3 linked regions of the Arabidopsis thaliana genome follow. The protein of the gene in region 1 interacts with the protein of each later gene in a pairwise test. Each region holds a gene or a part of one and is shown in the gene's direction. Other genes may lie near its edges. The genes, in order: TPI, CRK2 and AT1G16000.

Region 1 (10,699 bases):
TGTTAAGAGATGATCATAGAATAAGACTGAAAATTGTTGCAAACTTGTCGCTATGCTGTTCCAAATCATTTACCAGGATTGATTAGCGAGTAAACCATGTTTTAAGCAACGTTATAATTAAGTTTTCCTTGACGGTGGAAGACAATAATTTGATAAAAACATAAAAAGGGGCTTGACTAGTCAGTCTTGCATGTAATTAATGATTTTTTCACATCATTCTTGGATGGGATCAAGACTTCACCTAAATGCATTTAAGTATTTATGAAATCTACCAAACAAAACCTTCTTTGATTTGCCCATTTCGACCACTACTTTGTTGTTTTGTACTAGGTAACAACTATTATGCTACTTGTGTGATTTAATTTTTAAGACCTTTATTATGACAAAGTTAAGAAATTATATAATTCCTACAAATACGAAATACTAGTGATAAAAAAAATCATAGCCTTTTGAAATTATCAAAATAGTTCTACCAAACACAGTGAAATAAGATCAAACCTTTCCAACTGAACTAACAATAGAAGAAAGTAGGAAACAGTTTGATAACATTCTCCATATAGTAGCATCAATTAATTATATAAGATTAAAGTTTCTTCCCCTACTATTGCCGACACTATATTTATATGTTTTGGTGAATTTATAGTTCACCCAACATTTTATCTTTCAAATTTATAAATTTTATAGAGCATTTTGACACTACCTTTAAATTTCAATATGGAAAATCATATATAAGTTATAACCATTGAAACAAAAACTTCAGACCAAGTTTATATCATCAACAATACCATCATAGTTAAAAATTTGGAATTGAGAATGGTTGTAGCAAAACTGTTTTAACTTTGAATTTTTTTAAGATAAAACTATACTGTTATTTTATATAATTTTGCAGTTTATAATGGCATTTATTGCAGTTGATGTCTAAACAAACTTTCCAATCAAACATACTTCAGAAACCTGTCTCATGACGTTGTAATAATAATAATATAGCAAAATCAAGAAACAACATAATTCACTAAAAATAAAGTAAGTAAAAGAAAGAAAGAAAGAGATAGTGGCTCAAGTCTCAAACTCAATCAAAAGCACCAAACCAAAGTTACCAAACTTCTCATCACCAAAAGAGAGAAGAAGAAGAAAGAAACAGAGAATCGCCATGGCAGAGAAAGAGAAGAAAACAAAAAAGAAGAAGAAGAAAGAGAAGCATCAATCTTCCGACATCTCTTTCAAGCCTTCTTCAGACGTAAAAGGACTCAAATTCGGCGGCCAAATAATCGTCAAATCATTCACAATCCGACGAGCAAGAACATTCGAGCTTCTTAAACTCCTCTCTCTCCCTTCTTCATCATCACCGCCGCTTCTTTCCACGGCGGCTTACCTTCCGACAAACTTCACAATCCTTGCACACCACGCATGGCACACACTAACACTAGGTCTCGGAACAAGAAAGTCCAAAGTTGTGGTCTTCGTGTTCGAAACAGAGGCGATGAAATCATCCGTTGTGGCGGCGGAAGGAGGAATCTGGCCATCGGAGATTCCATTGGGAGATGTGAACAAGAAGATGATCAGAAAGTTAAAGAACTGGGAGATGGCAAGGTTTAAGTTCAGAAAAGGTTGTATCACGTTTTACGTTTACGCCGTGAGAAACGCCGGAAATGAAGGGTTTGCGGCGGCGGAGGACTTAAAGGTAATATTACAAGCGGTGGTGGCATTGAAAGATTTCATGGATCACACCGCAATGCTTGTAATGCCCCACCAGAAAAGTATTAATTACAGCTCTTGTCCTCCTTTTGCCATGGCTCACTGAACTTTGAACAATATTATACAAGTGGGCCCTCTTCTCTTTTTTCTTTTCTTTTTACTCCTTTTTTTTGTTGATATAGAAAAAAAAGTTCGGATTATTATTTATTTTTGGTTCCATAATGGGGTTGTTTGTTATTAATTTCCTGTATTTTTTTCTTTGATTTGGGTGGAAGATTGTTGGTATGAATAAGATTAAAACTGTTGAGTTGGGTTGGTTTTGTTCGTGCATTTCATCCATAGTGATCAGAAGCTGAATCTCACTTAGAATTCTTAGGTAAATCTTAAAAAATGTGGAAGAATTGGAAGATTGGAGAAATATATGTATGAAAAATATTTACATTTCATTAGTTAGTCAATTTTTTCATATAAATTAAATTTCTTGTTTTTTCTAATTTCACATGTTTTTTTTATCAATAAGATTTTTCTTCAGATCCTATAAATCATCATTTTAGTATATGTTATGATTTTCAGAGCTTAGTTTTAAGTGTCATTATACATATATGACGCATCAACCGAATAAAGTTAGAAGAAGCGAGTGTTAAGGGTAGTATGTTATCCTATATTTTCTATGTAGTTGTGATGTCTCTGCACATTACAATCTAGTATTGGTGTATTGATCTCAGGTCACAACCGCACACTTACATTACATGTCTACTTCTACATGGTCTCACCCAAATATGATTTGAATGAGACTAGAATTTACTACAGTATTTCATATATTAACAATTCTGTAACATTGTCATGTCAAGATATGTTAACAATGTAAAGTCATAGTTTTACAACATGTCATAGTTGTCCAATGATACTACTACTACACATTGTCATATTTCTTAGTCTTTTAAACCTTTGTCGGGTCAAAGTATGATTGGTCGAGGAATCGGCATTTAGAAATCTTCAACTGATGCTAATCTCATGGCCTAGAAAGACATAATTATCTTGTAGATAAGGTTATGTTTCTAAACGCTTATATTGCTTTATAGGTTGATGGACCATCTATATCCAACATAAAGATCACAAGTCACACAAATCAATGTTTTTAAGCGTAACGCTGAAGCAAATTTTATGGAAGTTCCACTTTATTTAAATAAAAGGAATCAGCGAAAAAATAATTAACAAAAAAATCTTAAAATTAGGATAATCCGAAATTAAACACAAAGCTGATGATCTCTCAAATCCAAAGTTCCTCAGAACCATTATGTTAGGATTTTCCAGACAAATACTACTACATAGACAATCTCCTTAGTACTTACATGCACCATTGCTTGGGTTGTTCCCTACGATCATACCAGTTCCACTGAAGTTACAAGCACCATCAGTGCGGCCGTGGCTCTGGAAATAAGCATTCATAACAAAAGATGCGTGCGTCCTCAAACTGCTCGGGTTAAAGCACGAACCACCAGCTTGGATCGGTTTACAGTCAACACCCTGACCACACACCCAATTAATACTGTCTTGCAGCTGAGTATTCGTCGCCCCGGACCTCGCTACACACCATTTACCGCCGGCAGTACTAGGTGCGGGCAATGCTGGGCGGCCTCCACCGCCTTGTCCGTTTCGGAGAAGACCAACATCGTAAACCGGGGAGAAATCTGCTCGGAAAAGTCCCCAGTTACGCTCTGCGGTCGGACCGGGTTTGCCTTCTTCGTTGAAGAGACCGAAAATGTATGTCTCGAACCGTCTGTTAGGCATGAGAGGTGTCCCTTGGCCTTGTGCACGTTTGATAATGTTGAGGTTGAACCAAGCAGCATTCGCAGGCGAGCACCAAGGTGCGTCACAAGCAGATGGCCAGCCAGTCTCGCCAACGACAATGTTAACATCACCGTATCCAAGAGCTTTCATGGCTGAGTATGTCGAGTCCATGAGTGCATCAAACATGTTGGTGTAGACGTGGCGGGTGAACGGGTCACGGACTGCCTTGTACGGTGTTCGGAAAATTGCGAAGTTGACGTTTTTGGGGTCAAAACCAAAGTAAGGGTACGGGTTAACCATGAAAGGTGACTTGGTTCGGCGATGGTAAGCTAGGATTGGAGCCAATATGCCTTTGTCCCAACCCGGCCTGAATCTACCGCTGCTTGGTGCACCGGTCAGGTCATAGGCTATGATGTTAAGTGAGTGTGCGGTTGTAACCTGAGATCAATTGCAACAAATAGTAGTATTAGAATCAATTGTTACCTACCAATCTCCAACAATTTTCATATGATAATCATGTTGGTCTAAATTTCCTATGAAATTGGTACATTATCTCATTTACCTAGGATCACATATATCATGATGTAATAAAGGAAACATAAGGCATGGCAGACAGATGAACGAATCTAAGGACAATAGGATAACCTTGGACGGTGATGAGATAAGCACGTGGGATAGTCTAAATGGTCAGATCTTAATCCAATCGCTAACATTTTCAAGTTTCAAATCTTTGAATTTTGCTTTGGGAATTTATTTTTTTCCTCTTTTTAAGAAACTAACAATATACAAGTTGGATGAAAAAAAGAAAGAAGCAAACGCAACATTCTACGTTTGCGTGAAATTTTGGATTTCAAGTTAGATAACAGACGAAAAAATAGAGATTGAATCTAATTTTTCAAAATAATCAATTTTTGTTTTGCATATTTTTTTCAACGTTGTTTTTCAACTTTATACATATGCGCAATCAATGCATTATCTCTGATATAAAAAAGGGAAAGAAAAAAAAACAGTGCATTTTTCACGCCAATCATCAATTCACTATTAATAATTACAATTTCTTTTAGTTAAAGAAAATTAAAACTAGGTAAAAAAGTTAAGTAAACAAAAAAAAAAAAAACTTTCCCACTAGCAAATATCAAATTCAAAGTTGAGATTTCAAAATTTTTTATCTGAAATTTATACAATAATGAACATCAAACTTAACTTTAATTTTATTTACCAAAACCAAACAAATATTCTACTTATTCCTTAAAATAGAAAAATCTGAAAAATAGAGAGAAAGCTGACCTTAACATCTCTGACACCAGCACGAACCAAAGCGTTGTTAAGATTCCTCATCGCCGGTAAGAGATTATTGATCATGTTATTATCTCCGGTGAGCAGAATCTCATTTCCGACTGAGATATACTTAATCTTCGTCTGAGGATGAAACGGCAAAATGTTAACCGAAACCCACCGACGAGCTTGTCTTCCGTTAGCCAACGCCGGAATATCACCGTTAGGAACGGTGACAACGACGGAGATACCAGTTCCAGCGAAGGCACGTAGGATATCGGGATTCACATCGAAGATCTTGACGCTATCAATCGAAGTTTGTGTCTTGATAAAGTTAGCCACCTGAGTCGGTGGTGGGAGGTTTCCGAGAGTTCCGTAGTTAACACCGATGGCGGAGATCACGGCGGGGATGGTGAGGAATACGGCGGCGCAGAGGAGGAGGAGAAGAGAGATTGACGGTGGCGCTTTGGCCATCTTTTTATATTTCGGAAATGAGAAAACCAAACGATTCCAAGTGAAACCCGTGAATCGTTTGAGTTGTGTTTTTATTATTACGACGAATAGATTTTTTTATTCTTATCGAGAAAGTATTTATAATAAAAATTAATAGATATGACCGTTTTGTATAGCGTATACGTGTGTATATTTTTAGTGAGGAACAGCTGGATTTTGTGGAAAGCAAAATAAAAGAAGAAGTTTGTGTTGTCTTTGTTTTTCATGTGCGTCGGCTTAAATTTAGGCCGTTGTAAATTATTGAAAAAGTGGATTTTGTTGTGACCGTGGAAACTTTAGTTAATTAATTTGGCTAATTATAGAGTCTGCTTTTGTTTGGATAATCAATTTGTCATCTTTTTCTTTAATGGTTTTTGGCTGGTAAATACTCATACTATCCAAGTTTAATCTAAAAATATACCTCTTTCTTGTTAATCGTAATTTTACAATCCTAATTTTATCCAGATACGGATGAACTATATTTGAAAAAAAGGAACTAAAGTGAAGTTAAGAAAACAAAAGAGAGATCGAGTGTTGTTTTTTCTTGGATACGTTTATTAAAAGATGTTCTTAATGAGGTCAAAGGAGACTATCTGAGTTTTTACTGCTAAACTTAAAACTAAAAAAAAAATCGATTAGTAATATTGATGTATCAACGAAATGTATATGGTTAAATATTAAGTGAAAAGAAAAAGAAGAGAGATCGACGCGGTTTGGGATAATGCCATTGGCCCATTGGACACGTGTTTGTAGGAGGAATAGTTTGGAGTTTGAACACTACGGACCAAAGTCAAAGAGATTCGAAGTATGAAGATGTTGTTGAGGAAGCTGATTCGAAGTAACTTTTACCGACACGCTTTAGCCATTTGTTATGCTTTCTTTGGGAAAAGAAGATCCGCGTCCATGTCTCATTGTTAACAGTTTATTGTCATTTTCAATGACATGGTTACACTCATTGCACACACACACAAACCACGTAATTTTGTATTTTTTTAATTAAATCCCATCCTTATTTTTTGCAATAACAAATTACCATTGTTACTTTTTAATGATATCACATAAAATAATCGATGCCACTCGATAGCCCTTTAGACTAACAATATGTTTGTTGAAGTATGCCACAATGTTTGAAGTGAGCCGGCTCAATGCTCTCATGGTGGTTTAGTAGTTTAACTTGAGAACTTACAACAGTTTTCTCCTTCTCCACACTATTTGTATCCAAGAAGGGGCATTACAATATAGAATTGCATAATACGATTTAAACTTTTACCAAAAAAAAAAAAGAAAAAAAAAGAAAGAATTGCGTAATACAGAATTTATCTTTAAGGGAATACAAATATAATTTGGTTTCAGAATCATCTCAATAGGCTTTCCTTTAACCAAACTTGGGTTTTATTGATGTGCTTGCTTTAATGGGCCTAAAGCCCATACAACAGCATCACTATCCACGCCGTTGTCTATTCTTATTATTCACCCCACCCGGTACACCGACCAAACCTTGGCCAACACGTCCATAATATTTCATCCTCCCTCCTAATTTACTTTAATATCCTCAACTTTCCTAATCGTTCAGGGAATATTCTCATATACCCTAGACATATGCGTCTTTTCCAATCTAAAATGTTGAGAGTATATTTTTATTTATATATATATGAGTGACCCCTGCGAGAGACAACGGCCACTGAACACTATCGATCTAATCTTTTCAGCTCTCTCCATCGTCGTCGTATCTGTGACTCTCGTGATCATCGCCTGAAAAAAATTTGAGATAATGGCCAGAAAGTTCTTCGTCGGAGGCAACTGGAAATGTGTAAGTGATCTTTACCTTCTATTGCGCACCTTATTATTAGTCTTGTCACTTGATCCTTCCCCGATCAAGTCAAAGAGATCGGAAAATCCCGATCTTAAGATCTAAGGTTTTTTTCATTATTTGTAGCGGTGGAATTTGAATTGTAATGCATATGGTTCAGATTTGTCGATTCTATGCCGGATCTTAGTTGTTTTTTTTTGTCAAAATTTTGAGTAGGAATTTTTCTTCAATTGATATCTCGTGTTCTAGCTTTGGTGGATCCGTGTGTTAATTTTGTTGGTTAAACTATTTTAACATGTTAATATTTGAATTTGTAATCTTATATAGAACGGAACTGCTGAGGAGGTGAAGAAGATTGTGAACACTCTTAATGAAGCTCAGGTTCCTTCACAGGATGTTGTAGGTATGTGTAGCATCTCAATTGCTTTGACGACATTATGGCTTTTTTTTTAATTTCCATGTCTATGAAATCTTAAGTAGTGACAAATATTTTGGGCATACAATTACAAACCTGTTTCAATGTACATCGATGTTCTATAGTGTTTATGCTTCTTAGGAACCATGGATAGATCTAGTGTTTGTTGTTAGTTAAAATGTTCTTTATCATATACTTGTTATGGTTCTATCTTTGTTGATAGTTATAAGTATGTTTGTTCTTGTATTAATAATTTGATGAAATTTTACTAAATGCAGAGGTTGTGGTTAGCCCTCCATATGTTTTTCTTCCCCTGGTTAAGAGCACATTGAGGTCTGACTTTTTTGTTGCGGCACAAAACTGTTGGGTTAAGAAAGGAGGTGCTTTCACTGGTGAAGTGAGGTGAGATTCTAACCATTGGTGTATACTTTAAGCTGTTTTACCATTATTGCTTCATGCAGTAAATATTTATGGTTTTGAAAATGAATATGATTGTGTTTATAAACGAATCGATTTTTCCATCTGTTCTTCTTCTTTATCTTCTTTCCTATAAGAATTGTGTAACCTAAGTGATTAAGAAAACAACTAGTAGTTGGTAGTAAGACCATGATTGGATTCGTGCCTGGTTAGACAAGTAGGTGTAATATGATTTACCTGTCTATGGAATGCTTTCATAGGAAGAAAAGATATATTCTGTGGTGCCTGTATTTCCTGCTCTTATGCATTGTGTAATTTGTGTGTTTTAGTGCGGAGATGCTTGTGAACTTGGATATTCCATGGGTTATCCTTGGTCACTCTGAAAGGAGGGCAATCCTTAATGAATCAAGCGAGGTTGGTGACTTTACATGATAAAATAATTTTCTGGAGACTCAAATAGCTTTTAAATTCATGATTTTGGTTTTTGACCTCTATCCTACATTTGTAGTTCGTCGGAGACAAGGTTGCCTATGCACTTGCTCAAGGTTTGAAAGTGATTGCTTGTGTTGGTGAGACTCTTGAGGAGCGGGAAGCTGGATCGACCATGGATGTTGTGGCTGCCCAGACCAAGGCTATTGCCGGTATGTATATTGTCAAACATTTAATCTCTTTTTGCTATCTCAGTTCGTTCTCGTTTACAGTGAGACCTGTTTTGATGATAGTGATGCCCGTTTCTACGCACTATACTCCCTTAGTGTGTGATTCAAACCCCACAGAAATATTTGTTGGCTAAAAAACTCTTTTTGTTGGTAATGGCAGATCGGGTGACAAACTGGTCAAATGTTGTCATAGCCTATGAACCAGTGTGGGCCATTGGAACCGGAAAGGTCGCTAGCCCAGCCCAAGCTCAAGAAGTAAGTGGTTCTCGATGCGCAGTTGCACTGTAACGTGTTGCATATGGTCATGATTTAATAGGAAAACCAATGCTGTTTTCCTTACGAGAGCTTGTTTCGTTTATGAACAGGTACACGATGAGCTGAGGAAATGGCTGGCCAAGAACGTGAGTGCTGATGTCGCTGCTACAACCCGCATCATTTATGGAGGTAGATAGATGATAACACGATCTTTAATTAAACACCCCTATATAGTTTTCTATGTTACTTAGCTTGATTATGCAAATTATTATCAGGATCCGTCAATGGTGGTAACTGCAAGGAGCTAGGTGGACAGGCCGATGTTGATGGTTTCTTGGTCGGTGGTGCTTCTCTAAAGGTACATATAATATGGTTTCTCTTGTAATGATATCTTTCGTTTGTCTCTTTCAAAACCATGACTAATGTTTTCATTCTTGGTCTTTTTGCAGCCTGAGTTTATCGACATCATTAAGGCCGCAGAGGTGAAGAAAAGTGCCTAATGAGCTCATTAAGCAATTTAAAAGTCCTTTGCTTTTCCAGTCGCAACTCTGAAAAAATGAATAAGTTGGTATTATGATATGATACATTTTGCTTCAGTTGTATTTGGCAAAAGTTTCTCTCTTACTATATTGTTTTGAGAACGCAACAATCATTTTCTTCGCCATTTATTTAGCTGTGGACTTGCAATTTGCAAATCCCTTCCTTTTACAGTCTTCTCAACTCTTCAGAGAATCTGTGTTTGGAGTTCATAACCCCTCGGGCCTTTTGATCAAACCCCTATTTCTAATGTCGTCCGATCATAAACCTGTGTGTTATATAATATGTTGTTTGTTCCATTTTAGACTTTGGTATTTTGTCATGCTTGATCTCTGAATCATGCTGTCAACCACTTTGAAAATGGCTTTACTTGTTAAATAAATGACGAGAGAATACAGGAGAAGTGGGAAATGACTTTATTTTTTCCCTTTTATCGCTTTTTGCCTATTGGTCTGTCATTTTTGACATTTTAGCTTTTAGAACATTATTATTTTCAACTTTATTGTCATCATCTTGAAAAATGTCCAACATTACGAAATTATTATGTAGAGAGTAAAAAAGGAAAAGAAATTTCATGGAGAAACTCATTGTATTAGGAATGTCAATGTTTGTAGAAAACAAAATGCTTATGTAATTTGAGTAAAACGGCTCAGTGGAACTAAAGTGATAATGTAAAAGAGACGGTTAAGTCCAAAATAAGAGCTCCCGTATGTCAGAATTGTTCAAACCATTTATTAAAAAATTGGACTCAGTATGATGAAAATGTGTATGGATTTTGATCCGACCACGAAAATCCAACTAGTGCCAATAAAAACTCCACAATATGTGACTCAGCTACAAATGTGATAACGTATTATCTCCCAAGTCAACCCACATTTCTGGTGACTTATATTTTATTTATTTCTGAGTAATATTTAAGAAAGTAGGGATTGAATTTTTATGAGTATTATATTATATAGTTGACCTTGGACTTATTTGCGTAACGAGCAAACAATTGTGACCTTAGAAATGGAGGTTTGACTAAGTCATCGATCATTTCAGCAATAGAGTAATTTTGGGTCCGTATGACTCAAAACAAGTTTTGGTAAAAAATTTCTCTGTTTTAAAAACTTGTATTTATAAAACTTATGTCCCATCCCATGATACTAAATTTAATTACATTATACGTATGTAGTCAAGCATAATTTTTTCCTGAAAAATCTTATTTTTCTTACCTACTTGTAAACTTTAATTTAATTCCTGGTTAAGTAGATATTTTTCTTAGTTCTTACAAATCTTATATTTTCTTACCTACTTTTATAAACATTTTTGAGACCACTATTACTAAACCCGAATCTGTTTCATCATTCCACA
Region 2 (10,699 bases), on another chromosome or scaffold:
AGAACTTACGCCATTATCCATTACGTTGCCTTGTTTTCTCAAACTATTCCTACAAAAAAACGTAAAAGAGGAAATATCCGGAAAATTACTCCGAACTTTAGAAGATTCTTGCATTGATCAAAATCTGTTTTTAATTTCATATCACTCATGAATTTGTTTGTGTTGGACTATTCAGAGTTTCAGACAGTGCAAATTAGTAAAATATTCTTACTATTACGACGTAAGAAGAAAAAGACAAAGAGGCTGGCCGACGATGGCTAGATATAATGAACTTTAGAGGTTATATGTTTATCGTTTACTGGTTTTGATCAGTTCAAACACTCGAACCGAATGGTTAATCGATAAATATACAAGTTTATTATGAACTGAACGGTTAACGGTTACTAAAATAGACTTTACCGTTAGTGACTTAGCTCAATTCCCTAAATCGAAATTCGGAAAATCTCGGTCTGGTTCGACATTCTCTATTCTGTTTAAAGTTCCATGCCTAGTAAATACGAATTGCAAATTGGCAACTACCCAACGATTGTATAACTTATATAACCGTAACAGAAATCCTTGTTTTTTCTATGTTCCGCATTGTGGGTGACAAAACAGAACATACAAAAAAGTGACAAAAGCAATGACGTCATGATGCCCCGTGCATTAAAACAGAACATAACTCCCACACGGCGTCGTTTTCTGCTTTCAATACCCCAATGCGATCGGTATCTTTCGTTGAATCGTAAGAAGACAAAAGTCCACTCTTTGACTTCTCTTACAATTGGAAAAACTCTCAAACTGGAAAATTTTCCAAGTTTTCTTCTTTTGTTGACCCAACAACCAAAATCTAAGAATTTCAATTTCAACTTCCCGATCGTGTCTCCTTCTTGATTCTCAATCACCCAATCCATTTCAAGAGAGAAGAAAAAGAAAACAGAGCAAAGATCAAAAACCTTACACAAATGCTTTCTTGTTCAATTTCAAAAGCTTAACCACTAAACCCAGATGCCGATTCTGACTCTTCTTCTTCTTATTCTGGGTTTGTTTATAAGCCCTTCTGTTTCAGACTCGAGAGGAGACACAGTGGCTCAGATATGCAACAACAGAACAACGACGCCGCAACAGAGAAGTCTCTTCGTCACCAATTTCCTCGCCGCCATGGACGCGGTCTCTCCACTAGTGGAAGCTAAAGGTTACGGACAAGTGGTCAACGGTACCGGAAACTTAACCGTCTACGCTTACGGAGAGTGTATAAAAGATCTTGATAAGAAAGATTGCGACTTGTGTTTCGCTCAGATCAAAGCTAAAGTTCCTCGTTGCTTACCTTTCCAAAAAGGTACTCGTGGTGGTCAAGTCTTCTCAGATGGTTGCTACATCAGGTTTGTTTCTCTCTCACACTCATTTCAATCCGATAAAAATCTTAACTTTATGGTTTGATTGATTCTTGCATTTGGTTATAATCGATTGTTGTATCTTTGTTTTAGGTACGATGACTACAATTTCTATAACGAGACGTTAAGCTTGCAAGACCGGACAGTTTGTGCTCCAAAGGAGATTACCGGAGTAAACCGGACGGTATTTCGGGATAACGCTGCAGAGTTGGTTAAGAACATGAGTGTGGAGGCGGTGAGAAATGGTGGATTCTATGCTGGTTTTGTGGATAGACATAACGTGACGGTTCATGGTCTGGCTCAGTGTTGGGAGACTCTTAATAGAAGTGGTTGTGTTGAGTGTTTGAGTAAAGCTTCAGTGAGGATTGGTTCTTGTTTGGTTAATGAAGAAGGTCGAGTTCTTAGTGCTGGTTGCTATATGAGGTTTTCTACTCAAAAGTTTTATAACAATTCTGGAAATTCTACATCAGATGGTAATGGTGGTAAGTAGAATAAGCTTGAAATATGATTTAAATTTAGTATATGTTTGTAACATTTATTTAGCAACATTCTTGTTGATCAGGTCATAACCATTTGGGTGTGATTTTGGCGGTGACATCTTCGGTTGTGGCTTTTGTTCTGTTGGTCTCTGCCGCTGGTTTCTTGCTTAAAAAGAGACACGCCAAGAAGCAAAGAGGTTTGTTCCATAAAGAATTAGTTAAGATTTATGTTCCAGAAATAGCTTAGTTTTCAAGATTAGTCATAGAGTTTGAGTGGTTATAATAGTGAAGTCTTGATCTTAACAGATATTTGTGTGTGTGTGTGTGTAATGTAATGTAGAGAAGAAGCAACTAGGGTCATTATTCATGCTTGCGAACAAATCTAATCTCTGTTTCTCCTATGAGAATCTCGAGAGGGCTACCGATTACTTCAGCGACAAAAATAAGTTAGGACAAGGAGGATCTGGCTCTGTCTATAAGGTAAGTTCTGTTCTTATTATACATTTTCTAGAGTTTCATGTTGGAATGTTCCTACTTCTCAATTGGTTAACTCTTTGCCCTTTTTGTGGAGTAGGGAGTTCTTACTAATGGTAAGACTGTTGCAGTAAAGAGACTGTTCTTCAACACAAAGCAATGGGTGGATCATTTCTTCAACGAAGTTAATCTAATAAGCCAAGTAGACCACAAGAACCTTGTTAAGCTCTTGGGATGCAGCATAACTGGACCAGAGAGCCTTCTGGTCTATGAATACATTGCAAATCAAAGCCTCCACGACTATCTTTTCGGTTTGTTTTTGTCAATCCTAAACCTTTTACTACAGTTACCATGTCTTGATGGATCTTTTATTGACTTGTTCTTGTTGCTTTGTTTTGGTTCAGTAAGAAAAGATGTTCAACCGTTGAATTGGGCAAAGAGATTCAAGATTATACTTGGTACAGCAGAAGGAATGGCGTATCTTCACGAGGAGTCAAATCTTAGAATCATACATAGAGATATTAAGCTGAGTAATATCCTTTTGGAAGATGATTTTACTCCAAGAATTGCTGATTTTGGATTGGCTAGATTGTTCCCAGAGGACAAGACTCATATCAGCACTGCCATCGCCGGTACACTGTAAAGTCTCAAAACTTATCTTTGTAACTTTAATATCTCTCTCTACCGTTTCTTGTGTTGTTTCTGAAGATTCTTACTTGTGGAAACAGAGGCTACATGGCACCAGAATATGTAGTACGAGGAAAACTAACTGAGAAAGCAGACGTTTATAGTTTTGGAGTTCTTATGATTGAAGTTATAACCGGAAAACGTAACAATGCCTTCGTACAAGACGCTGGTTCGATCCTACAATCGGTAAACTAACTCTCTACAAGTAGTTCAAACATTTTCTTGATTTTAGATCAAATCCTTTTTCTTGAATCTTGAAAACATATTTTAGGTATGGAGTCTGTACAGAACAAGCAATGTGGAAGAGGCAGTGGATCCAATCTTAGGTGATAACTTCAACAAGATAGAAGCGTCACGGCTACTTCAAATTGGGCTTCTCTGTGTTCAAGCAGCGTTTGATCAGCGGCCTGCGATGTCTGTGGTTGTGAAAATGATGAAAGGGAGTTTGGAGATTCATACGCCGACGCAACCACCGTTTCTGAATCCAGGAAGTGTAGTAGAGATGAGAAAGATGATGATGACTCCCACGACGAATCAGTCTAATTCTTCAGGATCAAGGAGTGACTACATAACCGAGGGTTCGAGTTTCTTTGAACCTAGATGAGGTTTTAGATCGTGTTAGATATATCAGTATCCTTTCGTGTGGATTCTGAATCATCTTGTGTCATATGTACAAAAATTGAGATGCCAATTAATCGTGTGTTAGCTAGGAACTGAGGGTTACTTATGTGCCACGACAATGTCATAGAAGCTAGGAAGTGAACAATGTAGAGCTTACATGACGGGGACAGATTCCGGTTTAGCCTCGGTTTTGATTGTAGTGATTCGGTTTACGGTTCAGTAGTTTTATTTTGTGTGTTAATTTTGAGTAGCTTTGTATATTAGTAAGCGGTTTTTGTGTTTGTTCTCGTTTTAACTTTACAAAAAGAGAAAGAGTAAATGTCATATTTAAATAGAAAAATGCAACCACAAATGCAAAGAAATTCGAGTAAAACCAAATAATGCCATAAGGATATTTACCTAAGAATCAAAATATGAAACATATTAAATGTACACAAGAAAAAAATCAAATCACTAAAAATTCACTAAATTTATTACCGCAAAGTTTGGATCATGATCTCCTAATTTTTGCACAAGTGGATTCGAATCAAGGACTTTTTATCAGTGTTTTTGTTTTCTTTCAAGGAAGCCATAGGAGACTACTAGATAGAAACACATATACTACATATGTCTTTATTATAGCCAACTAGATTTAACATTTTTAGAATTGAATGTCCAACTACTTCTCATTTTTCTTTGCAATTGATCTTGAATAAAACTTTGACCATGGCAACATGTAAATGGTATTTTGTTATATATATTTTTATTATTTGTACAACTTTTATTGTACTATACCAACTAGGCCTACTAAATCAACCCAACAAATTGACAAAAAAAAAATCAACCCAACAAACCTATTTCTTTATTTAAAGTAGTCTAACGTCACTTTATCCATTTTCTTGAATGTCATCTTACTAAACACTACGCATATGTGACGTTTTCTTTTTTCTTTAACTAATCAGAAAATTGAATTTTTCATGATACCGGTAAAGAGATTTATCCAATTAAACCGAACCGGCTCCACATAAGATAAGCTCTATTAATTATTAGTCCACTGGTTTTTAGGTTTATGAAAACGACAAATATTTGAATGAAGACAACGACTTCAACAACATGATCGAGCTGGTTTGGTTTCCAAGTGTGAATTCAAGACTAAGAAGAAATCCAACAATCTCCATTATCAATTTTTTTTATTAACTTTTTGACTAAACCAGTAGAGAGAGAGAGAGAAAGACAGCAAATTTGGTTGACTCTAACAAACCAATATCATCAAAGTCAAGCAGTTGAAAATTCTTCAATTTCATCATCTCCAATTCTTAATCTCTCTGCTTCTTCTTTCTTCACAACTTGAAACAGAACACAAAACCCTTGATGAGGGAATAAAAAAAGGAGATCTCTTTCTCAATCAAACAAAACAAAATGAAGAAAGAACCTGTCCATATCCTTCCTCTGTACCTTCCATGTCTCTTGATGTTTCTTCTTTCATCACTCCGTCAAATCACCGGAGACGCAAGGGCTAGAGCCGTTAAAGTCACTTGCTCACCTTTGCTTGAGCACAACGAAACCGCTTATGTCCCAAATTTCGTAGCCACAATGGAGAAAATCAGCACACAAGTACAAACTTCCGGTTTTGGAGTTGCTCTCACCGGTACAGGACCAGACGCTAACTATGGTCTTGCGCAGTGCTATGGTGATCTTCCTTTAAACGATTGTGTACTCTGTTACGCGGAAGCAAGGACGATGCTTCCGCAGTGTTATCCTCAGAACGGAGGTAGAATCTTTCTTGATGGATGTTTTATGAGAGCTGAGAATTATAGTTTCTATAATGAATACAAAGGACCTGAAGATAGCATCGTATGTGGAAACACGACGAGAAAGAATAAGACTTTTGGTGATGCGGTGAGACAAGGGCTGAGAAATGCTGTTACTGAGGCTTCTGGGACTGGAGGGTACGCTCGTGCGTCTGCAAAGGCGGGTGAATCTGAATCTGAATCAGCGTTTGTGTTGGCGAATTGTTGGAGAACTTTGAGTCCTGATTCTTGTAAACAGTGTTTGGAGAATGCCTCTGCTTCTGTGGTTAAAGGATGTTTGCCATGGTCAGAAGGACGTGCGCTTCACACTGGATGTTTCCTTCGGTACTCTGATCAAGATTTCTTGAATAAGATACCAAGAAACGGAAGATCAAGAGGTAACACAATAAAAAGATTCATGCTTTCTATAGAATCTCATTCGCTTGATGGTCATAAGTAATTGTTTTTGCAGGCTCTGTGGTAGTGATTGTGGTGTCAGTACTTAGCTCTGTGGTTGTCTTCATGATTGGAGTAGCAGTAAGTGTTTATATCTGCAAACGTCGGACCATAAAGAGGAAGAGAAGAGGTAAGATTAGTTTCTTGATTTGTGATGAATTGGTTTAAGAAGGATTGAGTGTTTTTAACCGAGATCTTTGGTGCTTAACAGGATCAAAAGATGTTGAGAAAATGGCGAAAACACTAAAAGACAGTAGCTTGAATTTCAAATACTCAACACTAGAGAAAGCCACAGGTTCTTTTGACAACGCGAACAAGCTTGGACAAGGCGGATTTGGAACTGTCTATAAGGTATGTGTGTGTATGATCATGTCTCTCTTTCTATACCTTCCTGTAAAGCAAATGAGTGATATAGTGGTATCTCTCTGGCTTGTTTAGGGGGTTCTTCCAGACGGAAGAGATATCGCTGTGAAGCGGTTATTCTTTAACAACAGACATAGAGCAACCGATTTCTACAATGAAGTCAACATGATCAGCACTGTTGAACATAAGAACCTTGTTAGGCTGCTTGGTTGCAGCTGCTCAGGACCAGAGAGTCTCCTTGTCTATGAATACCTTCAGAACAAGAGCCTTGATCGATTCATCTTTGGTAACTACTACTAATAATACTATATGATGAGTTTTTATTGTTGAATCTTGAATGCAGCAGCACACTAAACCTGTCTTCATTATTACTTTTGCAGACGTGAACAGAGGGAAAACATTAGACTGGCAGAGAAGATACACGATCATCGTTGGAACCGCTGAAGGATTGGTGTATCTGCATGAGCAGTCGTCTGTGAAAATTATTCACAGAGACATAAAAGCAAGTAATATTCTGCTAGATTCAAAGCTTCAAGCTAAAATCGCCGATTTTGGTCTGGCGAGATCATTCCAGGACGATAAGAGCCATATTAGCACTGCCATTGCAGGGACCTTGTAAGTATATATTCAGAAAAATGTACCATTTCTTCAAAAAGATATGAATGTTTGAGCTGATCCAATACTTGTGAAACTGCAGAGGTTATATGGCTCCGGAGTACTTAGCACATGGTCAGCTAACAGAGATGGTAGACGTTTACAGCTTTGGAGTTCTTGTACTAGAGATTGTAACTGGAAAACAGAACACCAAAAGCAAAATGTCAGATTACTCAGACAGTTTGATCACAGAGGTAAGTTAGACATATTTTGTCTATGGGTCTGCAGGTTTCACTTCTCAAACTAATTGTGGTGTTATGTTTTTTATTGAAGGCATGGAAGCATTTTCAGTCAGGAGAGTTGGAGAAAATATATGATCCAAACCTCGATTGGAAGAGTCAGTATGACAGTCACATCATCAAGAAAGAGATAGCAAGAGTTGTTCAAATAGGGCTATTGTGCACTCAAGAGATCCCTTCGCTAAGACCACCGATGTCTAAGTTATTACATATGCTAAAGAACAAAGAGGAGGTCTTGCCATTGCCGAGTAATCCTCCGTTTATGGATGAAAGAGTCATGGAACTTCGAGATGGTTCTGATGGTGATTCAGCTGGTTGTGCATCTCTTGCCACTGTCTCACAAAGTTCCTTTTATGGTAGATGAGCTTTGAAGAAGTGTATAAGAAGAAGAGAATACAAAATCTTTGATCTTTGAGCAGAAACTAAAATTTTGTGTATAAACCAGTGAGAGAAGCTAGATAGTATAGGTAAGTTATATCTTATGTATCATACTTGATAACAAAAAAAAAGTACTCAATAATTCAAGCTCTAGGTGCGATTTCTTCAACCAACCCATAGCTTCAAACATTTATCTTTAATAGTTTGCAAGCTTATAAACGGACTTGCGAGTTTGCAAGAGAGAAGACAACAGAAACAAAGAATGAAATGTCTGAGAATTTCCCAACATATGCCATCTTCAAAAAAATGTTATCCTCATCCACACCAGACTTGCAAACATATAAGATTGGTGGTTCAATGCAGCAGTTTAAGGTAGGTACTCGAGCTCAAGCTTTGTTGTTGTTTGTGCTCCTGCTTTCTTGTTGTGATCTCAGAACCAGGCTGCTTCTATCTGGACACATAGATCAGAACTTAGAAACTATGTGCTCCTGCTTTCTTGTACGGGATCTCAGAACCAGGCGGGCTTCTCTCTGGACAAATAGAGCAGCATTGGTAGGTTGATGTCAACGTGTGTTGTATTTGTCAAGTCCTCAGAAACTGGCTTCTGCTCCACAAACCAAGACTACCTGTAGCAACCACCACAACATATGTTAGGAACAGACAAATTTTTGTATACAAAGAAACCATTTAGAATAAAAGTAGCAATGGAGTTGAAATTATTCAACTTCTTAAATTGATCATCATTCATGTTCTCTCTTACCTTTTGATATATAATATTTTGTGAGCGAAAAAGATGATTCTTTGTAAACGTTATATCGAAAAAAAGTTTCAACCAAAACGTAACTTCCTTTTTGGTTAGATTGATATAATTATTCGTAACTGGAAATCGAATCTAATTTAGATTTCCTCTACAATATCAAATCCCCAACGGTTAGATTAACAATAAACCAAAAAAAAACCATCCTTATAAATACACACACTTAGATCACGCATTCTCTTCTTCTTCATTCATGAGAAATCAAAATACGCTCTATTCTCACGTCCTTCTTCTTCGAGAAACCAAAATCATTCATCGTTCCCATCTTTTCATACCTGTTCGCTTGATGATGATCCATGTAATCCTCGAGTTCATCATCTCAGAATCGTAATTGATTCTCTCACGTCCTCTCTTTCTTGACCTAATTGAGAAGGAAGAGATCGGGGGCAGTGAAAGCGAGGAGCACCTAAGAAGACGATTCCAGGACCTAATCTAGAAGGAAGAGATCGGGAATCCAAGTACGATCAACTTTTGATCAAAGACAGAGGAAATTATACAATAGACAGAGGAAGATTCCGGCGAAACTCCAAATTTCTCCGGTTTAACACACCAAACGGGGGAAGATGAATTGCGATGATAGGAGACGACAAGTATAGAGAAGAGTCAAAAACGAATGAAGAAGACGGAGAATTTCGGAGGAGTTGCAACAAAGACGCAGCAGCAACTAAGGGCTTTTCAGACGAGTTCACGGTGGTCTTCGAATGGGCTTTTTTCATTGGGCTTTCTTTGCTACAAAATCCAACAAGGTATTATTTTTCTTCAATTATTATTTTTTTTTCTTTTCTCTAAAAAATATTTTTTAGTAAAATTATAATTAAATAATAATAGTTTTCACTAAAAATTTAGAAACAATTTAAAACTTAAACTTTAAGATAAATAATTCTTAACTTTTAACTAAAACCATGTATTTCACTATTATTTTTTTAAAATTAGTTTAAGTGTTAAATTTTAAAAACGTCGGGAACTAACCGCGCCTAGGCATCCCGTCCTTAATTGGTCTGTAAGTCTTGAAGTGTTCGAAGTTCGGTAATGTTTTCACGTAATATAGATTTGACACTTCAACTCATTTTTAAAAAATAATAATGATTTTCACTAAAAATTTAAAACCAATTCAAAACTTAAACCTTAAGATAAATAATTAATAATTTTTAGTTAAAACCATGTTAATTTTACTAATACTTTTTAAAAATTAGTTTAAGTGGTAGATGAGGCTTGAATAAGTGTATAAGAAAAACAAAATACAAATCGTTGAGCACAAACTAAAATCTTGTTATAAACCACTGAGAGAAGCTAGATAGTATAGGTAAGTTATCTTATGTATCATACTTGGTAACAAAAAAGAAGTACTCAATAATTCCAGCCCTAGGTGCAATTTCTTCAACCCACCCAAGCTTCAAACATTTATCTTTACCACCCCCAGTAACTTCCCACATCCTTACTGTACGATCTTGAGAACTGCCAAGACAGATATTTGAATAGCAAGCAACAATTGATCAATTAGAGACATTGATACAAGTAGTATAAGTAGGGCTGGGCATAAAATCCGAAATCCAAAAACCGATCCGAAAAATCCGGCTCCGAAACCGAGCCAAATAGTCACAAAATTCGAATGGATAATGAATTCTTCTACCCGAATGGATAATGAAAATAAATTATTTAGTTGACACATCAGCTATCTAAGTAAGGTTCAATACAAATAAGAAATCTATCAATTTGGATGATTGGAAGATTAGTGACATAATATTGCCACTATTTCCAATACAATGTCTCGTTACGCCCTTGACCGTTTTGGCTAACGGGTTCCATTCATTCGCGATGATGCCCCATTTACCAAAAGCTTTTTACTGTTTTCTTTTCTTGGAAAAACAGTGTAAAAATTATACAATGCACAATTTCATGTCTCTCTTTTCATTACTCGGTAAAGAATGTTTCATTAGAATCGTCCATCATATCAAACGGCATGTTCTCCGAAGGCTTCCAATGGCGTTTCCTTTGGTTTATAAACCAATTGTTGATTTGTTTTTGATCCAAACCTGTTTCTTCAGCCAGAGATATTTTGTCGCCTTCCTATACACATTCGAGAGGCGGATATTAATATGTCGAAGAAATAAATTAATGAGTGTATGCTAGGTTACGGTGGAATCAGAAAGACACTTACAGTAGGGTAAGGCCATTTATTATGAACATTCCACCAATCGAGCAACGCTTGTCTTGCTTCTCTTGGTAGCTTCCCTTTCTTCTTCTTTTTAGAGAACTCGAGTTTCAATGAACTGATATGGCTACCAAATTTGCGTAGTAGCTGGTCCTTCAGATCGCGGTCATTGCTTCTTTGTTGGCTGTCATCCGCTGCTATGTCATCATCTTCTCTCAGTTCCTCGTCAGATGAAAC
Region 3 (10,426 bases), on another chromosome or scaffold:
TTTGACTTCAGAAAAACCCAGAAAAAAAAAAGAAAGAAAGAAGCTTTTTCTGATCGACGACGAAACGAATCAAATCGAGAGAGAGAGACGAGGAGAAAAGGTCATTCACCAGTCACGACTTAACACGTCATCGTTTGGTTCTTCTGCTTTTTCTGTTCTTTTGTTCCTCGACCCGACAATGAAACGGGTCCTTATTGCTCGACCCGACAAGTTAAATGGTTTAATTGCTTACTGTAATCAGTTGGTTAATGCTTCTGAGTTCTGAGATTAGGAATGTTTCTTTGCTCGTGCGTATCAACCAATGTAAAGACAAAAGTTTTAATTAATCGAACAGAGAATAATTTCTGGAATTGCCATAACCAAAATAAATAAATTAAATGCTAAGTTTTCTTCTATGGTCGGAAAATTGCCACAAAAGGGACCCACTTATCCTAAGTTCCTACAGAGATCTGTTTTCTTTCACAACATTTAAAAATCCAAACTTTTCTTTCTTTGGCTCAAAAAAACCTTCCAATGGCTTCTTCACTTCCTCTGTTACCCAAACCCATTTCCCCATTCTTTAAAACGCCGCCGTTTTCTACCTCCAAACCACTCGTCTTCCTCAACTTTCAAACTCGTCTTACGTCGAGATCTTCCGATGTATCGGTCAATCTCAAGAAGAAGAATAATCCGTGGCTCGACCCGTTTGATAGCGGTGAAGACCCGGATAACGAATACGGGTCCTTGTTTGCCGACGGAAAACAAGACGAGGATCCAAGACCACCGGATAATCCTGATAACCCTTACGGCTTCTTGAAGTTTCCAAAGGGTTACACCGTCGAGCTTGCTTCTTTACCGTTGAAAATCAGAGGAGATGTTAGACGATGTTGCTGCGTTATCTCCGGTGGCGTTTACGAGAATCTACTCTTTTTCCCGACTATTCAGCTAATCAAAGACAGGTAATAAAAGTATAAGACTCTGTCTCCGATTCGACATTTTTTTAAAACCTTAAACTGAAATGCAGAACATTGTCCGTACGTTTCTGTTGTTTTGTAAGGTATCCTGGTGTTCAGGTAGATATATTAACGACTGAAAGAGGAAAACAAACATACGAGCTAAACAAAAACGTGAGATGGGCCAATGTGTATGATCCGGATGATCATTGGCCTGAACCAGCTGAATACACAGACATGATCGGACTCCTCAAAGTTTGTAACTTTCAAATATTTCAACGTTTTTTCTATCTTTCCTTTATCAGACTGCTTAGTTAACTTTTCTTTTAAGTCATGTTTCAGGGAAGGTACTATGACATGGTTCTGTCCACGAAGCTAGCAGGGTTAGGCCACGCAGCGTTCTTGTTCATGACAACGGCTCGAGACAGGGTTAGTTACATTTACCCGAATGTTAACTCTGCAGGAGCTGGTCTGATGCTGTCCGAGACCTTTACAGCAGAAAATACCAACCTTTCAGAATTAGGTTATAGCATGTGAGTTCCTTGAAACCGAAGAAACTGCAGGTTTTTTTATCGCCTGTCTAAATTGACTGTTGATGGTTTCAGGTATACTCAGATGGAAGATTGGTTAGGAAGACCGTTTAGGAGTGTTCCAAGGACTCCTCTGTTGCCACTTAGGGTATCGATTTCACGGAAAGTGAAAGAGGTTGTGGCTGCAAAGTATAGGAATGCTGGAGCAGTGACGGGGAAGTTTATAGTGATTCATGGTATTGAATCAGATTCTAAGGCATCAATGCAATCAAAAGGAGATGCTGATAGTTTACTTTCACTTGAAAAATGGGCTAAGATTATAAAGGGTGTAAGGTAATTATTACACACCTTCAAAATGTGAATTTTTTGCTTAGTTTGAAATTCTCTGAGATATGATTGTGAACAATGCCAGGGGATTCAAGCCGGTCTTTGTGATTCCACATGAGAAAGAAAGAGAAAACGTTGAAGATTTTGTGGGTGATGATACATCTATAGTGTTCATCACAACACCAGGACAGGTATGCATGCTTATCTGTCTGTATTTGTTATGAACAAAGTTGAATTCACTGATCTTACTTTGATTCCTTTTCTTGAGCTTACTTAGTTGGCTGCTCTGATAAACGATTCTGCTGGAGTCATCGCAACAAACACAGCTGCGATTCAACTAGCTAATGCGCGAGACAAACCATGGTGAATACCTGAGTAATATAAAGAGTACTGATTCAATGTTTTCAAGAACTAACATGTGTGTGCTTCTTTTTCTTCCAGTATTGGGTTGTTCTCTTCAGAAGAGAAAGGGAAGCTCTTTGTACCGTATGCAGAAGAGAAGAGTAACTGTGTAATTATTGCTTCGAAGACTGGAAAACTAGCAGATATCGACATTGGAACTGTTAAAAATGCAATGCAGGTCTTTGAAGGATCATTGGCTCTCGTGTAGATAACTTTACAGTTTCTGAAACAAGTTCTATATATAGAGCATTTATGTGTATAAATCAGTTATGTAGTCTCTGTTCTGATGTTGGCCTCTCATCAAGAATTGGATTATTCAGCATCAAAATCAGGTTCCGGAGGCTTTTGCAGATTTATCAAGGTCTTTGAACTCTCTGAGCTCCTAAGTCTGTGCCCTTTCAATGCATTAGCAGCAAATCTTGATGCAAATATCGTTGAACGCAGTCTAGAAGAAGACTCACTTCTTGTGATAACCATAGGCCTCTTGTCACTCTCATCATCATATTCATCTTCATAACCCAATTCTTCTTCTTTTTCTTCAATCCGTCTCAATTCAGCGTTTTTCCTTCTTGAATAGCGACGCCAAGCAGCTTGGATGAAGCAAGAAGCCCAAGTTCTCCATTGCTGAGAGTAAAACCTAAATGTTTGTTGAACCTGTCGACTATGAAGTCTCCTAAACTGACTTGCTACAAACTTCAGCTCTTCAGCTTCAAGAGCGAAAGCCTCTACTTCAGTCAGAGCCTTCACTGTTCTTGTGGAAGAAGGTAAGTTTGAGCCTGCTTTAGGGTCAAGAGCCCATGTCAGAAGCTCTTCACCACAAAAGTCTCCTTCTTTTAACAACCCTCTGTTGAAGAAACCGCTTCTTCCCCCATCTGTTGTTACACTTTCTAACCGGCCTCGGATTATGAACATCATTTCGTTAACGGGGTCTCCTTCACGCACAATGTAAGTGCTTTCCGTGAAAAGACTCGGCTTTAATCTCTCACAGATTGCGTCAAGTAATCTTTCATCCATATTAGCAAACAGAGGAACCTGTAGAAACAGAACACATAGTTAGTTAGTATCTCAAGCAATTTTAGCATTCTGATTGTGAAAACTTACCCTCCTAACTAAATTCAGACAGAGATGGCGTTTGATGTCTCTTCTGAGATCCTTAGGTAAACTCTGAACTATGTTTTCTTCGTCTACACCTCTTGTCTCTAACCATTTGTATTGATCATAGCGTCTGACTCTTTCCCTCAAATTTTGTGGAAGTGACCTGTGATGCATCCACTGTTCTGAGTCACGTCTTTTGATCCTCATTTCCTCGAGACGAACAGTAAGTGACTGAAGATAAGTCTGCATATTCCCGATGAGAAGCGCGAAAAGAAGAAGCCCAGCTATAGCAATCGCAATGGAAAACAAAACCTCTCCTGGAAATGTACTTGTCTGCAGCCCTTGACCTAACGTGCTGTTCATGAAAACACCAAAGATGTCAAGAGTACTCTGCACAAGCTATCGGTTGAACCAATGACAATGAGTTGCCCCCGCCTTACCTGAGATTTTGAAGACCCCACCATAGACAATAACAGAACTTGGAGAAAAATGTTGTTGATGATACAATGCCTGAAGATATAGCCTGACCGTATATCCCATAGTTAAACTTTGAATCATCTGCTTTAGCAGAACAATTGCTCTTAAGAAGCTCAGGGACTGTTTTGATCCATTCAGTTTCTCCACTGCTCACAAATTTAGTCCCACAATACAGAATCTGAACACAGAGTCGCGGATCTGGCTGAACTTTACACGCAAATCTCCAACAAGTATCGTTACGCTCCACTGACAACATGTACCAAAACGCTCCAGTTATCTGTCAAAATGTGTTTGTAAAGTCAGAAAGTGACCAATGATGAATAAATGTCTCAAAACACTAATTAAGAAGAGTCATATATACATAGAAACGCTTACGTGGCTTGCAAGCATATACCAGAGAAGATAATAAGCAGCACCAGCCCAAGCTCCTTCGGCAAAAGCTCCTGCAGTTTTCTTCAACTCTGATGTTAACGGAATAAACCTCACGAATCTCGGAATATACTGCACAATTACAATGTTCAACAATGCCGTTTTCGTTGGTAACACATCCGATCCTTTAGACCCGTGAAGAAACTTCCACACTGCAATCTGTAATATCCACACAAAACATCATAATCAATCCCAAAAGTCCAATATTTTTAGTAACCATCAAAGGATCTTTTCACTCTGTTTTACCTGCGGTAAAGGCAGCACTGCAAGAAAATCGACGACGAAATAACGGGTTAAATAGCGTTCAGCGATCTTTGCAGGATCAATCACAAGCTCACCACGACCAAACACACGAGAAGAAGGAGCTATATAAGCTGTACGAAACTGAAGAGCCATTCTAGTTAAGTAAAAAACGTCAACAATGGTTCTAAGAGTCGTCGTTGTAACAGCTAGTTTCGTATCAATCCCTATACAGCTGCTTCCGGAATTATCGACAATGGGAAGATAGAAGAACAAAGGATCAACAGAGACAGCTAAAATACACGAAATGACGAACAATCTGTTCCATACGAGAAGTGTTTTGTCTTGAGGATCAAAGATTTTCTTCTCTGTTATTCTTAAGTCTTCTGGAAAAACCGCTCTTGTAACGGATTTACCGATGGTTATTAGACCTTCTGATCTGATTTTTTTAACTCCTTCCCTGAAAGATTTGGATGCTTTCTTCTTTTCACCTCCTCGGTTCTTTAGGTTAAATCCGAAACAGTTTCTCTGCATCATCATTCCAGTCGCAGGAGAAGAACTTGAATCTATATCATCTAACCTGTAATTATAAGTTAAATGTCATTCATAGATCTGAAGAAAACAAAGAAAAATATTGCGATCTTTTGATTTTCTTACCTAACGAATTTTTCTCTTTGGCCGCTTATGTATTGGGATTTGTACATTATTCTGAGAAACAATCATAAGCTTCATGCAAAAATTAACCTAACAACATCACAACAGATCTCAATTATATGAAATAAAAACTGGAAAAGAGCTAATTAAGGATCGGCAACAAATACTTAAAGTGATTTGTAATAAATGTGGGAAAGTGTATGAATGATTAAGGAAAATCTAGGGCTTGAAGAAACTTGAGAATGAAGAAATTGAGGGTTCCTACTTAGTACCATAGATGACGGATGAATGATTGAATACTCCTTTAGATTGGACCGTTGTGAAAGTTGGTTACCATAATCATACACTAACTAACTTTTGATGCGGAGCGTATTTACCGCGTATTTTGACGAGGCGCGAAGAGTTATTATAGCTCTCTTCTCTTCTATCTAATTCACTCTCTTTATTGGCTTTCGATGAGTAGCGAATTTACCGCGTATTTTTTGGTGAAACTGTAATGTCAGAAAGTTATCACGCTTCTACACTAATATGTAACAAAATATGGGGTTTAAAATGTTATTCAATAAAAAGGAAATCTTATGTTGATGGGCCATAATAAGGCCCACTTATACATGGTACTAAAACCTCTGATGGATAAACCTTGTGTGCTGTTGATCGGAAAGGAAAAGTAAAAAAGAGAGATCTGAGAAATGGGAAATGAGACGAAGACCAACGGTGGTCCTGCAAGTATGGCCGGAGGCGGAGGATTCAGAGCTAAAATGGAACATTACGTTTACAGTGGTGAAAAGAAGCACGTCTTGGTCGGGATCGGAATCGTCACCATCATCTTCGGAGTTCCTTGGTATTTGATGACTCAAGGTCCGATCTCTCTCTCATCGTTTAATAATTGTATAACCAAATCCCTTCTTGGGGATTGAAAGGGTAATTGGTAGAAGATGAAATTGGAGGATTTTGATTGCAATTAGATTCTGATTTTGGTTTTCTTGCAAAATGAGAAACATGACATAGTGAGTAAATGGTTTCTCAGTATATATGGAAATGGATCACATTGTTTCATTCTAACATTCCCATAGGACCTGAATCTGTATATCTCTTACATCTGCTTTTGGTTACATCCTATAGTGTTGACTCTGTTTGGGCTAATTGGTTGAAGTTCTTTGGTTTCTTTTAGGGTCAAAGCATCAATCTCACCAAGATTACATGGACAAGGCCGATAAAGCTCGAAAAGCACGCCTCTCATCGTCTTCATCAGCTAACAAGTAGTCTGTCTGAAGGATTGAGTCATTTGCACACTGTTATCTCGTACTCATTTTCCCACACAAGTTAAAACTTAGTCAAAATCTGAGTCTTTTTTGTGATTTAGATTCAAAATCATTCTCATTTTCATGCACCATGTTTGGTTATCCGTTTTTTAATAAAAAGATCAAAGATTCTATCACATTTGGATTGACAATGCCTATGATAAAAATTCCCAAGATTCCATTGTGTAAAGGAAACAAATCATTAATATCTGTAAGCAACATAACAATATAAGTTGATGTCTACTTTCTGGGGAGCACATTCATGTCTCTCTTCTTATAGAGGCATGAGTCTTCTGTACTTGAAGAACCAGACGAATGCCGAAAATATCACAAAGCCACATACTCCAGTAATTATGAGTACCCATCTGAATGCACCTGGCTGATTGAAGAAGTCTATCTCAAAGTTCATCCCAAAGATCCCAGCAACGACCCCAAATATGGCTACAACAAACGTTGCAGTCGTCAGAAGCAACTCGAACTGGATCAGCTGATTCCGCACATTATCCTGCAGATATTGAAGAGGTTTTCAGCATGACTCTTGTGCATTCTCAATCTGGATTAATATCAGCTGTGGAAGATGGAATTTTGAGGTATTACCAGTTGAATGTTAATGAAATCTTCAGTGTCATCAATGTACTCCTTTAACTGTAAAGTAAAGAGAGGAACACAGATGATTAAAGCTGTCTAGCGAAGAAAGATCAAAAGTAAAAATGAGAGGAGCCATTAAAGTACCGATGTCAACTTGTTTAGAGTACTATCAATGACGACAAAGTAAGCTTCCAGCAACATCTCTAGCTCTTCTATATTCTCTGCACCTTCAGAACTCCTTGCACTGTCATGCCGACTCCTCGCAATGCTCAAGCTTTTATCAAGTCTTCGGGAATCAGGTGGAGAAGAAACAGGAGACACCGGTGCAGAAACAGATAGACCATCATTTGACCTGTAACCCAATAAGGACTGGTCACCGTACATAGATCCTTCCATTCTCCTCTTCTTCTCTGTTAGATACATTTCTGCCATATCTCCATCATCATCCATTAGCTGCTCGATCTCATCCCGAACCTTCTGAACTCTTCTTGTCAGTGCTACAAGCCTGCTCTTTAGTCTACGCACACGCTCCAAGTTTAGTGTACTGATCTTTGAGGTAAGCTCATCTAATAACGGGTATGCCTCAATCTCCAACTCTGAAGCCTATAGAGAAGGATAAAATTAAATCAACTTAGCGTGTAGTAGTCAAATCCAAGCCCAATATTAGTCTATATTTTCTGAGGGGGAAACAAAATCGAAGCTAAAGTGTTACTAACCTGGGAATCGAGAAACGTACAAGCAGCTTCAAGGGCTATTTCAAGAGCTCTAAACTCGAAAGGTAAATAATCAGGGGATGAATTCTCAAAAGCATTGTCAAAACTCCTGCTCCTCCTCCTACTCAACTGGGAATTTTCCTGCTGCCACATCTCACCTACACTACTAGTCTTTAGTCTCTGCTGCAACTCAACAACATAGCGCAGCACGTAGTTGTCAAGGGAATTCAGAAGCAGAACTTCGTCTGCAGTAATAATACAACGGATCTGCTCTAAGTTGACAACAATAGCCTTCTCTCGGCCTAGGATAGTAGAGGGATACACGAATAAGGGATCAAGCAGCCTTAAATCACGGGCGGGTAAGTCACACCTACGCATCATAGTGAACTTGTCAACCTCCATGACCTGAGTATTACCAGAAGTATCAACACGAATCCAAGAGCGTAGGCCTTGTCCACGCTTCTTCAGACCCAAGACATCAACTCCAAGAAGGGGTGGTCTTCCAGAAGCAGAAGGCCGAGTCACAGAAGCATCTCTGAGGTTCATAGCTGAAGCAGGTCTTGGAGGAAGCAGGCGCTCTTTTAGCTCAGACATTGTTGCAAAAATTCAGATACTGAAATGCCAAATAACTACAAATATCAAAATAAATGATGTAAACAATGATATGATTAATTAGGTAATCAAGAAGATTAAGTAGTTTCACAAACCACCAAAAAACCGGAAGAGAAAAATTGAAAACATAGGCTAAAGAACAAATACCAGTTAGGAAACCAAGGCTGATTTCGTCGTTCTAACTCTATCCACGACGACTGTAACAATAAAACGATGAACTAGAATCAGATTCCGATTAAAAATTCGAAAATTTTCGAAAATCAGAACCAAACGAACAACAAAAGCCATACCAGAGCTACAAACGCCGTAATATCCTACCAGCCACGGGATCAAAGAGCTGCAGATTTGGAAACAAAACGAACCAGGAATCATATCGATCGGTACGAAGCATAAAAACAAAAAAGAGAAAACCTAACAGAATTTTACCTCTAGCACGGAGATTGGTTTCATCACTCGAGTTAAACTGAATCTAATGAAACCGCGATAGAGAGATTCATAAGGCGGAAAAAGAAAAACCCTAACACAGATCGATCGGAGCTTCTCGGAACAAACACCGAATGGCTCGTCGGATATCGTTTTTTCCGATATGGCTGAAGAAGAAACAAACGAGCGATGGAGACAACAACAAACACGCAAAAGCTTTTTCTCTATTAGTTAGTCGCGCGACTAGTGTGAATACGAGCCATTGATGGGTTAACCGGAATGCTAACCGACCGACTATAGCTAATTTACCGGTTATCTCTAACTTCCCATTATATTATCAAATCTAAACTACTTAACTACTTAGATCTTTTAACGTTGTGTCATTATCACTATCTCCCATTATTTTTATTTATGGTTAATAATTAACCGAGTAATAAAGTAAGATACTAACTGAATGATTGAACAAATTATTTGAGATTCGCATTCACACAACGTATAATTCAGACGGATATGTCTGACTTAACCGGTGGAGCATCTAGAAATATTCGGTTTACCCGTTTCAGATATTGACCCGATTATTTGATAACCCGACCCGGTTTATTTCGTGGCGGTTAGCAGCTGTCCACCTGCTCCTCTTCCTTGATCCTTGTCACAAAATGTCGCGTAATTCTTCTACTGATTTCAGCTCAATCGCTCAAATTCGAGTTTGCGTTTAGAAATTGAAGTTGACTCTTCTGTTCTTGAATCTATCTCCGATCGGTGAACTATCTCGCAGTACCAGGAGATTGATCACTCCTTCGACATTGCTCTTTGAATTCGTCCTCAAGGTAGTCAATTTTCACTTAATTTTTTTTCCGTTTCCTAGCCTTCTACAGTAATTTTCTCTTCTCGATGTATGGGTTCTTCGGTCTTCTTATTAGGAACCTTACTTGGTATTTGTGTGCCGTGGTTGAATCACCAATGTGCTCTTGAAACCCTGAAATTACTTTGGATTTTGAAGTAGAGTACATCCACATTGGAAACAACAACCAATTGTAACATGCTTGATTCTGACGCGGTTCTTGCATTGTATTGTTAGGGTATTAATGAGCTCGTAGAAGCTACCAGAAATGGCGTCCATGAGCTCTGGTGATGAAAGCCTTCGACTTTGCATGTTTGATTTGAGGAGAGGTCAAACTGAAGGACAAGAGTTAGAGAAAATTTTGTTCTTTTATCCTGCCGATTTAGACTTCTCGACGCAGTTATCAGTGATCGGGCTCAGTGAAGGGCTTATTACTTTTACTAGGTCAGCTGCTATAGATTCTTCTTCTTTTTGAACACTGTGAGATGTGTTTTTACAATTGCTGGTGATCTAGATTTGGTTGCATTTGTGACTTGTTCGATAAATTAAGTCAGGGTCGTTAATCGATAGTCTGTGTAGATCTTCTTCATGTTTTGAGGCTTGGTGTGACTATTAATGCAGACTTTTCTCTCCGGAGGCGGCTTGTGAAGTGATCGAAGCAGAAAGACATTCCCATGTTTTCTATGAGGCTGAACCTGATATCTGGATGGTTATGGTAAGGCATTGTCTTACTTTTCTTTTGTTATAGCACAATGTTTTCTATGAATGATGCATCCTATGGTGTCTTAGCAATGTAAATAAACAAGATCTGATCTATACATTGGCAGGTTGTGGAGAAAAATAAGGAGACAGGAGCGATATG

Evidence for each region.
Region 2: the proteins of TPI (region 1) and CRK2 interact in a protein complementation assay, tested with the Arabidopsis thaliana proteins (one large-scale study listed by BioGRID).
Region 3: the proteins of TPI (region 1) and AT1G16000 interact in a protein complementation assay, tested with the Arabidopsis thaliana proteins (one large-scale study listed by BioGRID).

What each region holds. Positions count from the first base shown.
Region 1 is NC_003074.8:20,546,770-20,557,468, forward strand, and holds TPI (triosephosphate isomerase), read left to right. Parts: upstream 1-6,633; 5' UTR 6,634-7,024; coding exon 7,025-7,063; intron 7,064-7,390; coding exon 7,391-7,466; intron 7,467-7,756; coding exon 7,757-7,880; intron 7,881-8,224; coding exon 8,225-8,309; intron 8,310-8,403; coding exon 8,404-8,536; intron 8,537-8,714; coding exon 8,715-8,809; intron 8,810-8,919; coding exon 8,920-8,998; intron 8,999-9,084; coding exon 9,085-9,167; intron 9,168-9,258; coding exon 9,259-9,309; 3' UTR 9,310-9,791; downstream 9,792-10,699. Other genes in the region: AT3G55420 (uncharacterized protein), read left to right, coding at 1,151-1,801; AT3G55430 (O-Glycosyl hydrolases family 17 protein), read right to left, coding at 3,037-3,924, 4,774-5,235.
Region 2 is NC_003070.9:26,581,668-26,592,366, reverse strand, and holds CRK2 (cysteine-rich RLK (RECEPTOR-like protein kinase) 2), read left to right. Parts: upstream 1-4,738; 5' UTR 4,739-5,032; coding exon 5,033-5,801; intron 5,802-5,875; coding exon 5,876-5,989; intron 5,990-6,070; coding exon 6,071-6,210; intron 6,211-6,297; coding exon 6,298-6,508; intron 6,509-6,602; coding exon 6,603-6,837; intron 6,838-6,919; coding exon 6,920-7,070; intron 7,071-7,149; coding exon 7,150-7,479; 3' UTR 7,480-7,638; downstream 7,639-10,699. Other genes in the region: CRK3 (cysteine-rich RLK (RECEPTOR-like protein kinase) 3), read left to right, coding at 988-1,361, 1,467-1,855, 1,936-2,049, 2,193-2,332, 2,427-2,637, 2,731-2,965, 3,055-3,199, 3,285-3,617; KNAT2 (homeobox knotted-like protein), read right to left, coding at 10,222-10,377, 10,469-10,699.
Region 3 is NC_003070.9:5,488,801-5,499,226, forward strand, and holds AT1G16000 (GAG1At protein), read left to right. Parts: upstream 1-5,732; 5' UTR 5,733-5,775; coding exon 5,776-5,944; intron 5,945-6,257; coding exon 6,258-6,349; 3' UTR 6,350-6,559; downstream 6,560-10,426. Other genes in the region: PnsB1 (NDH-dependent cyclic electron flow 1), read left to right, coding at 514-938, 1,037-1,187, 1,275-1,465, 1,538-1,795, 1,875-1,980, 2,067-2,152, 2,231-2,399; CNGC7 (cyclic nucleotide gated channel 7), read right to left, coding at 2,504-3,223, 3,293-3,641, 3,727-4,040, 4,139-4,351, 4,439-5,012, 5,090-5,136; MGT2 (magnesium transporter 2), read right to left, coding at 6,662-6,892, 6,985-7,032, 7,120-7,578, 7,692-8,282; AT1G16020 (vacuolar fusion protein (DUF1712)), read left to right, coding at 9,833-10,008, 10,186-10,279, 10,392-10,426.